Linked DNA regions of Schizosaccharomyces pombe. The protein of the gene in region 1 interacts with the protein of each later gene in a biochemical or structural test. Each region holds a gene or a part of one and is shown in the gene's direction. Other genes may lie near its edges.

The links.
Region 2: the proteins of mts4 (region 1) and rpt2 form a complex in vitro, tested with the Schizosaccharomyces pombe proteins (one study listed by BioGRID).

Annotation. Positions count from the first base shown.
Region 1 is NC_003423.3:2,850,607-2,856,147, reverse strand, and holds mts4 (19S proteasome regulatory subunit Rpn1/Mts4), read left to right. Parts: upstream 1-2,045; 5' UTR 2,046-2,095; coding exon 2,096-2,233; exon of another isoform or gene 2,234-2,280; coding exon 2,281-4,818; 3' UTR 4,819-5,027; downstream 5,028-5,541. Other genes in the region: morphogenesis protein Mor2, read left to right, coding at 1-1,498. UniProt on the Schizosaccharomyces pombe protein: Acts as a regulatory subunit of the 26 proteasome which is involved in the ATP-dependent degradation of ubiquitinated proteins.
Region 2 is NC_003423.3:1,197,219-1,201,235, reverse strand, and holds rpt2 (19S proteasome base subcomplex ATPase subunit Rpt2), read left to right. Parts: upstream 1-1,807; 5' UTR 1,808-1,856; coding exon 1,857-1,859; exon of another isoform or gene 1,860-1,860; intron 1,861-1,994; coding exon 1,995-3,338; 3' UTR 3,339-3,458; downstream 3,459-4,017. Other genes in the region: aspartate aminotransferase Maa1, read right to left, coding at 1-575; SPOM_SPBC4.06 (acid phosphatase), read right to left, coding at 3,834-4,017. UniProt on the Schizosaccharomyces pombe protein: The 26S proteasome is involved in the ATP-dependent degradation of ubiquitinated proteins. The regulatory (or ATPase) complex confers ATP dependency and substrate specificity to the 26S complex.

The DNA of each region.
Region 1 (5,541 bases):
ATTTCCCCAAAACTGGGTTGGAGATTACCAAGGTCTTCAGATTTTAATATTAAAAGGTTTCCGTTCAACTAATTCTTTTGAAATTACCATGAATTTTTTCCTTTTGCTGATGGATTTCAAGGATAATGATTTGGTTGGCGTTGGTTATTTGAGGATACTATCCTGCTTGTTGGTGTCATTACCAGCGATGGTATATACATACGAGCATTCAGATCCTATTACTTTTGATTTAAGTGTTTTCTGTCATAAATTAGCTACTCTTGCTTCACAATTTAACGATGATGCATTGATTGAGCTTCTTGACACATATCTCAAACGTAAATTCAGGTCAATTAAGGATTTTTTAAAACATACGGTTTCATACCTATACTCCTATTATTTTGAAGATTACGAGCTAGAAATTGTTAGTACTCTTACGATGTTTCTATCAAATAATTTGACTTGGTTTAGAAAGTCTACGTTAGATGTGTTAAAAGAACTCTTTCCATTAATTGATTTCCAAAAACCTATATATTCCGAACATGGATTAGGTATTGTTTCACCGCTTCTTCGACTCTTACCTACTGGTTATGCAATGGAAGCGTTGTCTTTGCTAACCGACTCAGTGCTTCATGTATCTGCTCCCACAGATATGCAAACCTTAAAGTTATTAATGGTTGACCCTAAATTAAAAAATTCAGATGATCGTCTGGCTGGATTTTTTGAAATACCTGACGAGGATGGATGGTATGAACCAAACTCTGAATATGCAGCTGCTATAACTAAAAGCAACGTACATGCCGTATTTTATAGCTGTTCCACTACCGAGGCTTCTGTGAGTACGCCAGAGGTTAGATTTCATGCTGATGAAGTATCCAATTATCCGCGACACGTTCCTACTGACAGTCATGGTTCGCTTGACGAAAATTCACTAGGAGAGCTAGTTACAACTCTTCATAGCCTCGATGTCTTCTTCGCTGAAGATAGGGATGAAGAGTTAATTCAGCCTGATGTCGCCGTTGATCCAAAATTAGATATTACATCGGAAGATTATGACGATCGGATAGCTACGATTCTTTCAGGTAGCCTTAGACGGCAGAAACAAGGTCTTATGGCTTATGAAACAGAATCCTTCAGAGATTATTCACCGAACGAAGAAATTGATGCATCAGCAAAATTGCCGATGGACATGCCGCCGGTGAGAGTAAGAAAGTCGTCTTTTATCTCTAAATTAAAACCTCATTACTTTATGGATGCTGAATCTTATTATCCTTCTTTAAAGGCACTTGGTAATTCGGCGGAACATCGTTTATCTTTGGACGAAATACGAGGTGCAGCAGAATTGAAACAAAATAAAAATTGGAATTCCATGTTAGATCAATCTGTTTCTATGATTAATGAAGATTCAGTGGAAGACCATGAAACTCATGAAAATTATTATCATTTACGTACAATGTTTCAAGGAAGTGAAAGCAATGAATCTTTTACTGATACAACTCGATCCCGCGGTTGGCATTGAATTTGCCTATACTGGTTTAGTATACTTATACAAGCTTTTATGGTGTTCATGTGTGTAAGATGGAAAATTAGTCGGCAACGTTTATGGATGTACTATATAAAACTATTCGTTTGTTTTCATTATTTTATCATTTGCATTTTTTTGTTAATTTAAACTCGAAAATTCTTTGACCATTACAGCCTTTAATTTTAGAATTCAAAATCTTAGAGCGTGTCATGTTATTAAAAATCAAGCTATAACTATGGTAATTAGGTGTAGTGATATAAATCGGTTTCATATGTCCGTATTTAAACAAATGAAAACATAAAGAGTCAATCAATAACGAGTTATTTTACAACAATTCTTATAAGAAAAGAGGCATGAGATAATAATGTCAAGCATCGTGTAATAATGGTAATACATTGACGAACTTAAATAATAGATTATTTTTTCATTTGTACTGATCCATAAAGAAAGCATAGCGTGTTGTTAAATCTAATTAACGTGATAAATAATCAAATACGTAAACAATCGGTATACTGGTTCTGACTAGGGTGAGAGTAGTTTCAACGACAACACATTACTACTCAGTTTCAGAAAATCTTAGGAATCTAGAAAATGAGTTCTAAAGACATTAGTTCGAAGTCCCCGAGTGGTAATGATGCATTAAATGACAAAAAAGGGACAAAGACTTCAGAAACTAATGACAGAAACTCAACGAACAATACCAAAGAAAGGGATGAATTAGAGGATTTAGTAAGTTAAAGCCCTATTATTTTTCAAAATGAAAACTAACCAAATAGTCTGAAGAAGATTTACAATTAAAAAATGATTTGGAATTATTAGTTCAAGCTGTTCAAGATGCCACCCCTGAGTTGGTGGGTTCCAGTCTCACTCAGCTTAAAGAAATAATTCGTACTTCTACCTCCTCTATGACGGCCGTTCCAAAGCCTTTGAAGTTTCTTAGACCACATTATTTTACTCTCGTTAAAATCTATGATTCCTGGCCGCAAAGCCCTCAGAAGACTCAACTTGCTGATATCCTTTCAGTATTAGGAATGTCCTATAGTAATACAAGCAAACATGAATCATTAAAATATCGTCTTCAGGGCGTTACCACTGATCCTTCTTTATGGGGTCATGAGTATGTTCGCCATTTGGCTTCCGAAATAGAAGAAGAGTTTGCCAGTCGCCAGGAAGAGGAAGCGCCAACCGACGATCTTATGGAACTTGCATTGACCATTGTTCCATTCTTCCTTACTCATAATGCTGAGGCTGATGCTATTGATTTATTACAAGAATTGGGTGCTATTGAAAAAGTTGTACCCTTCGTAGAACTTGATAATGCTTCTCGCGTTTGTCTTTATATTACCAGTTGCGTTAATCTTTTGCCATTTCCTGAAGATGTCGCCATGTTAAGAACAGCGCATGCTATTTATCGGAAGTTTGACCAGCTTACACAAGCACTTAACGTTGCTATCCGCCTTGATGATATGTCTTTGATAAAAGAAGACTGTGAAGCTGCTACGGATCCCTTGTTGAAAAAGCAAATGTCTTACATGCTTGCTCGTCAGCAAATACCTATGGATATGGGAGACGAGGAGTTAAACGATGCTTTAAATAACACTCATTTATCTGATCACTTTCATTATCTAGGAAAGGAGTTGAACCTTATGGATCCTAAAGTTCCGGAAGATATCTTTAAAACACATTTAGAAGTGGCTAGGACTGGATTGGGTGCATCAGGAGTGTATTCCGCCAAACAAAATTTAGCTAACACTTTTGTCAATGCCCTTGTCAATGCCGGATACAGTAACGACAGATTAATTTTGGTCGATGACGAAAAAACGTCTTGGATTTATAAAAATAAAGAATCTGGTTTAATAAGTGCTACAGCTTCTATTGGCCTATTACAATTATGGAATGTTGACATGGGATTGTCTTTGTTGGATAAGTATTTATACTCTTCTGAGGAGAATACCAAGGCTGGTGCATTGTTGGGAATTGGTGTTACAAATGTTGCAGTAAGAAATGAAGCTGATCCAGCTATGGCAATTCTTTCTGAATACCTTGAAACTGGCTCCGTAAAGCTTCGTGCATCAGCGATTTTAGGTTTAGGACTTGCATACAGTGGAGCTAATCGCGAAGATTTACTCGACATGTTATCTCCAATTGTTACGGATACCGATTGCCCTATGCAATTATCCTGCTTAGCCGCATTATCTTTAGGTCTTATTTTTGTTGGTACTTGCAACGGCGATGTAGCTAGCACAATTTTACAAACTCTAATGGAGCGTGAAGAGTCTGCCCAAAATGATCAATGGGGCCGTTTTATGGCTCTTGGCCTTGCCCTTCTTTTTAATGGTAAACAAGACCTTGCGGATGCTACAGTCGAAACACTGAAAGCTATTGAGGGTAAAATTGCACGACAAGCTGAAATTTTGGTGGATATTTGCTCGTATGCTGGAACTGGCAACGTTCTTCACATCCAAAAATTGCTTCATATCTGTAGTGAACCTCCCAGTGATGATGCTAAGGAGAGTGAGACTACTATCCAGACATTTGCAGCACTTGGTGTTGCTACTATAGCTATGGGTGAAGATATTGGAGCAGAAATGGTTTTGAGACATTTCGATCACATGATGCATTATGGCGAACCCTCTATTCGAAAAGCTATACCACTTGCATTAGGATTGCTTTCCGCTTCCAATCCTCAAATGCGTATATTTGACACGCTTTCACGCTATAGTCACGATAATGATTTGGATGTTGCTTACAACGCAATCTTTGCAATGGGTCTTGTTGGTGCTGGTACTAGTAATGCGCGTTTGGCTCAATTACTCCGCCAACTAGCCAGTTATTATCACAAAGAATCCAACGCTCTATTCATGGTTCGTATCGCTCAAGGTTTACTTTACTTAGGAAAAGGAACAATGACGCTTAACCCTTATCATACAGAACGGCAGATTCTTGGTCAAACTGCTTTTGCTGGTCTTATGACTGTTGTATTAGCTATGCTAGATGCAAATACCTTTGTCCTTGATACCTCGCATTGGTTGCTTTATGCTATTACGTTAGCAATACGACCCCGAATGCTCATTACCCTTGGTGAGGACGGTCAATATTTACCAGTAAGCGTTCGAGTTGGTCAAGCAGTAGATGTGGTCGGTCAAGCTGGTCGTCCCAAGGTCATTACGGGTTGGGTCACACATACTACACCAGTTTTGTTGCATCACAATGAGCGAGCTGAACTAGCGACGGAAGCATATACACCTTTGACTTCGTTGGAAGGTATTGTTATTTTAAAAAAAAATACGGAGGACATTGAAATGACCGCTTAAATGACTTGAAGTTAAATGACTACAATTTTTATGTACTAATGCTTGATTTCCAGTTCTTTGCTATTAATAAAACAAACTGGATTGTTGAAATTCAGCGCCCGATACATTTATTTTTCTATTTCGATTATGTTAAATTCGTATTTTTTAGATTAGAAATGTTCTAGTATTGTTCTAAATTGAAGTAGCGGAAAGTATATATACATGATTGCAAATTTGTAATTAGGATTATAATTTCTGTTTCTTTTTTTTTGTATTTGTCGCGTTACCAAAAGGTAATAGAACGTCCACTGCAGAAACGTCTTGTTGGATAAAAATTGCCCGAACTAAGGAGCTACCATTTCTTAGTAAAAAAAATTTAGACCTGCGTTGGAGCTTAATGCAATTATCAAAGAATGAATTTTAATCATCTTCTGATAATCCGACAAAGGAGTTGACTGCTTTGCGACGCATCCCTTATGTCACGTTTCTACTACTGTTTCAATACCTAACCATTACATTAAAGGTAAAACTGCACATTAGATACTTCGCATTTAGGGAATAACGGTGAATAGCTTTATTTAATTTCAAATATTATCTTGAATTGTTATTATGTTTCATCATATGCAGTCCCAAAGTCTGCTCATCGTTAATTCATTTCCACAGGTAAGTTGTGCATTCATTTCGTTATGTGAAAAAATGGAATGACGCTCGTATTTGAATTGATAGAAATGTCATATATGACTA
Region 2 (4,017 bases), 1.7 Mb from region 1:
CGAGTAGCAGGATCATAATACTTGTAGGACTTAACGGTCAAGCCAGCTCGAGAAAATACATTCTTGTGATTTCCCCAAGTAGGGTCAGATACGTAAATAGTCTTTGATGGATAAAATGAAGCAAGGAAATTAGCTGCTATACACAAGGCACCGGTACCACTAATGGATTGAGCAGAAACCAGCCTATCCTTTATAGACTCGTAAACATCGCCATAAGCCAATTTTGTTGCTTGCACACGGAAACTGGGAATTCCTGTGATGGGTGCATATTCTTTGTCGAGTTTCTGACTCAACAGCTCAGTTTCTGCCTGACGAACACTGGGCAGAACATAAGGCTTTCCGGCATCATCACGATATGTACCAGCACCCAAGTTCATTTTCTTAACATCTCCATCCTTTTTATAGGCCTCTGTAATACCAAAGATGGGATCCGGTGGTCCCATAGGTACATCTGCCCAAACCTTGAATCCACGCTTGCTCTGACTTGCCAAGCATTTTACTCCATGGTAGGAAACGTTGGTTTTTAACGATGCAAATGTATTTGGATGCAAACAACGCAAATTCCTGGCCAACATCGTCGAAATCAATATTCTTCCCAAAGTTATTTCTGGGAGATTGGTTAAAGGCTCTTCACAGGCTCGCAATCAATCGAATCCTGCTAATATATATACGTTCTTATCATGAGAAAACCACGTGGTTCAATGTATCTGCTTACCGATCGATAACATAATCCGAAGCTGTAAGATGTCAAAATTAGATAACGACGTTTATTGTTTCTTTCGTTATCGTTCACTTGTAGAGCTGTTCCGAAAAAACATTAAAGTAGCATAGCGAAAGCTATAGTTTTGTAATCGCAACGTAGTTTAGCAACTAGTAAACAGTAACTCGTTAATTACCAATATTTATCGTAAGTAATTAAGGTAGTTAATAAATTAACATTAACAACAATAAAAATTGTAAAATAGCTGTTAGACTTGTAGAAAATATTTTTCAATAACAAGAAGTCATTCAATAATCATAACTTGAATAAGTCAATTTAGACCTTCGAACACTGTTTAAGTCATCAGACTGTCTTTAGTAGCTGCTTCTATAGCTTTCACTGTTGTTGCTGTAAAAGGTTGCAGAAGTAAGTTATAGAACAATAATTCTATTCATATGGAGGACTTTTATTAAGAAAAAAAACGAAATGAAGCCTACAGCACCCCGGATTCCCATGTTGTCTCCAACCATAGTACTAACGAGGCCCTCAGACGCTTAACTGCAGTGATCGGACGGGAACTGGTGTTTTCGCCTAGGTATGGCCGTAGACACCTAGTAAAATACTTTATAGCTTATATAATTTTATGCTATGTAATTTTGAGAGGAATGTGTGTTGTTTGAATTGGGATAAATATTCTTTAGCAATGATTCCTAAGTAAAAGATAGATGCAAGGTTAAATCACTTTAGCAAAGTCTATGTTCTAACAAGAAACACGACGAATGCACGAAAAGAGATCCGTACTCCTTTTAATAAAAATCGATGGCAATTGTTTAACCTTTTTTAAACCATTATTACTTCTACAACACTTTATATTGAGGAAAATTTACTTAAAGTGAGGTCTCTTGAAATGGAATGGTTGATTCACGCGTTGGTAACAGTAGATACATTTTCGTGTTCGAAATGTAAACAACTCAAGAAAATTAGGATGTGTTTTTACCATACACTATTCAAAAATTACAATATCGCAATACTATGTTACGCAATATGTTAGAGTGCCTTGAGCCACCGGTTGCTTGCATAGTGTCGTGGTGGAAAACGAGTGAAGCTAGATATTACCAATACCAGATCACTTTCACTGAGAGTATCGATCCAAAAAATGGTAAGTATTTGAGTATTTTGAGGCTGAAAACAAGACTGAATTAAATGTAATTTTTTCATCTATCGCTGAATAGTCTTGTTTTCACTCTATCACATTCTTTTCATGTTTTAATATTTAATCCTAACTCTCCTATAGGGACAAGCACAATCTGGGAATTTTTCTAATTTCGGCGATGGTGCCAACGGCGACAATAAAAAAGACCAAAAGAAAGATAAGCCCAAATACGAACCTCCAGTTCCCACTCGAACTGGTCGTCGTAAGAAGAAGGCTCAAAGTGGTCCTGATGCATCGGCAAAACTACCTACTGTTATCCCAACGACTCGTTGTCGTTTAAGGTTGTTAAAAATGCAAAGAATCCACGATCATTTGCTTATGGAAGAAGAGTATGTGCAAAACCAGGAACGTCTTAAGCCACAGGATGAACGAACTCAGGAAGAACGCAATCGTGTAGATGAAATTCGTGGTACTCCAATGTCTGTAGGAACTTTAGAGGAAATTATAGACGACGATCATGCCATCGTTTCCACAGCTGGACCAGAGTACTATGTTTCCATCATGTCATTTGTCGATAAAGACATGTTAGAGCCTGGTTGCAGTGTACTTCTCCATCACAAAGCCATGAGTATAGTAGGCTTACTTCTTGATGATACCGATCCAATGATTAATGTTATGAAACTCGACAAAGCACCTACAGAAAGTTATGCCGATATTGGTGGTCTTGAATCTCAAATTCAAGAGATCAAAGAGGCTGTAGAGCTTCCTCTTACCCATCCTGAACTCTATGAGGAAATGGGCATAAAACCCCCTAAAGGTGTCATTTTATATGGTGCTCCCGGTACTGGTAAAACTTTACTAGCGAAAGCTGTTGCTAATCAAACTTCTGCTACGTTCTTGCGTGTCGTTGGTTCTGAACTTATTCAAAAATATTTAGGTGATGGTCCCCGTCTTGTGAGACAATTATTTAATGCTGCCGAAGAACATTCGCCCTCTATTGTTTTTATTGATGAAATTGATGCTATAGGTACAAAGCGTTACGATGCCCAGTCGGGTGCTGAACGAGAAATTCAACGTACTATGCTTGAGTTACTCAATCAGTTGGATGGATTCGATACGAGTCAGCGTGATATTAAGGTTATTATGGCTACTAACCGTATCAGCGATCTTGATCCGGCTCTTATTCGTCCAGGTCGTATTGACCGCAAAATTCTTTTCGAGAATCCTGATGAAGCTACGAAACGTAAAATTTTTACCATTCACACTTCCAAGATGAATTTGGGCGAGGATGTTAATTTAGAAGAGTTAATTCAATGCAAAGATGATTTATCTGGTGCAGAAATTAAAGCAATCGTTTCTGAAGCTGGTTTGCTTGCTCTGCGTGAACGCCGAATGCGAGTTGTTATGGACGACTTTCGGCAAGCTCGTGAAAAGGTTTTAAAAACGAAGGACGAAGGTGGACCTGCTGGTGGTCTTTATATCTAAGTCCAACTTTGGTTATGACTAGTTTTACTCGCATAATGGCAATACTTCTTTTTATCCATACTTGCCATTGACTAAATAATTTCCAGTTCCTGTTTAGTTTCTACGAATATCTGTATTTCCATCTTCACTATTATTATTTAATCCTGTAGAGAAGTATTGTATGCATGATTATTAAGTTATCATTAAGTTTTATAGAGTAACTATAGATGTCCATAAAATTTATTATATCATCATACGTATTTTATTAACTTCGTGCATTCCTTGTCGGTTTAAATTTTGGATTTTTTAAAAAAAAGAGCGTAAAATAAGCAAAGCAAACAAAACGTGTCCATAGAAAATACCTCTCCGATACCTCTTTTTTTTTATTTTCTTCAATCGATCGCATTCACAATTTCAGTGACACAGTTTTCTGATTATATTAAGAAATTTAATTCTAACGTGTGCAACAAAACGCCTTTATAATACACAAAAGACGTAAACTAATCAATCAAATAATTACTTTTTCACCGGTTTACACATAGTGTGATATTCAACAGGCTTTAATGCACGGACTGTATCCTTAAATATAGAAAGAGGACAGATCGTATCATTGCCTTTGTATCCTTGACCTCGACATGCACCCATCACTACAGGGGTTGAATTGTAGGTAATTCGGACATACCAATCAGACATATCTCTA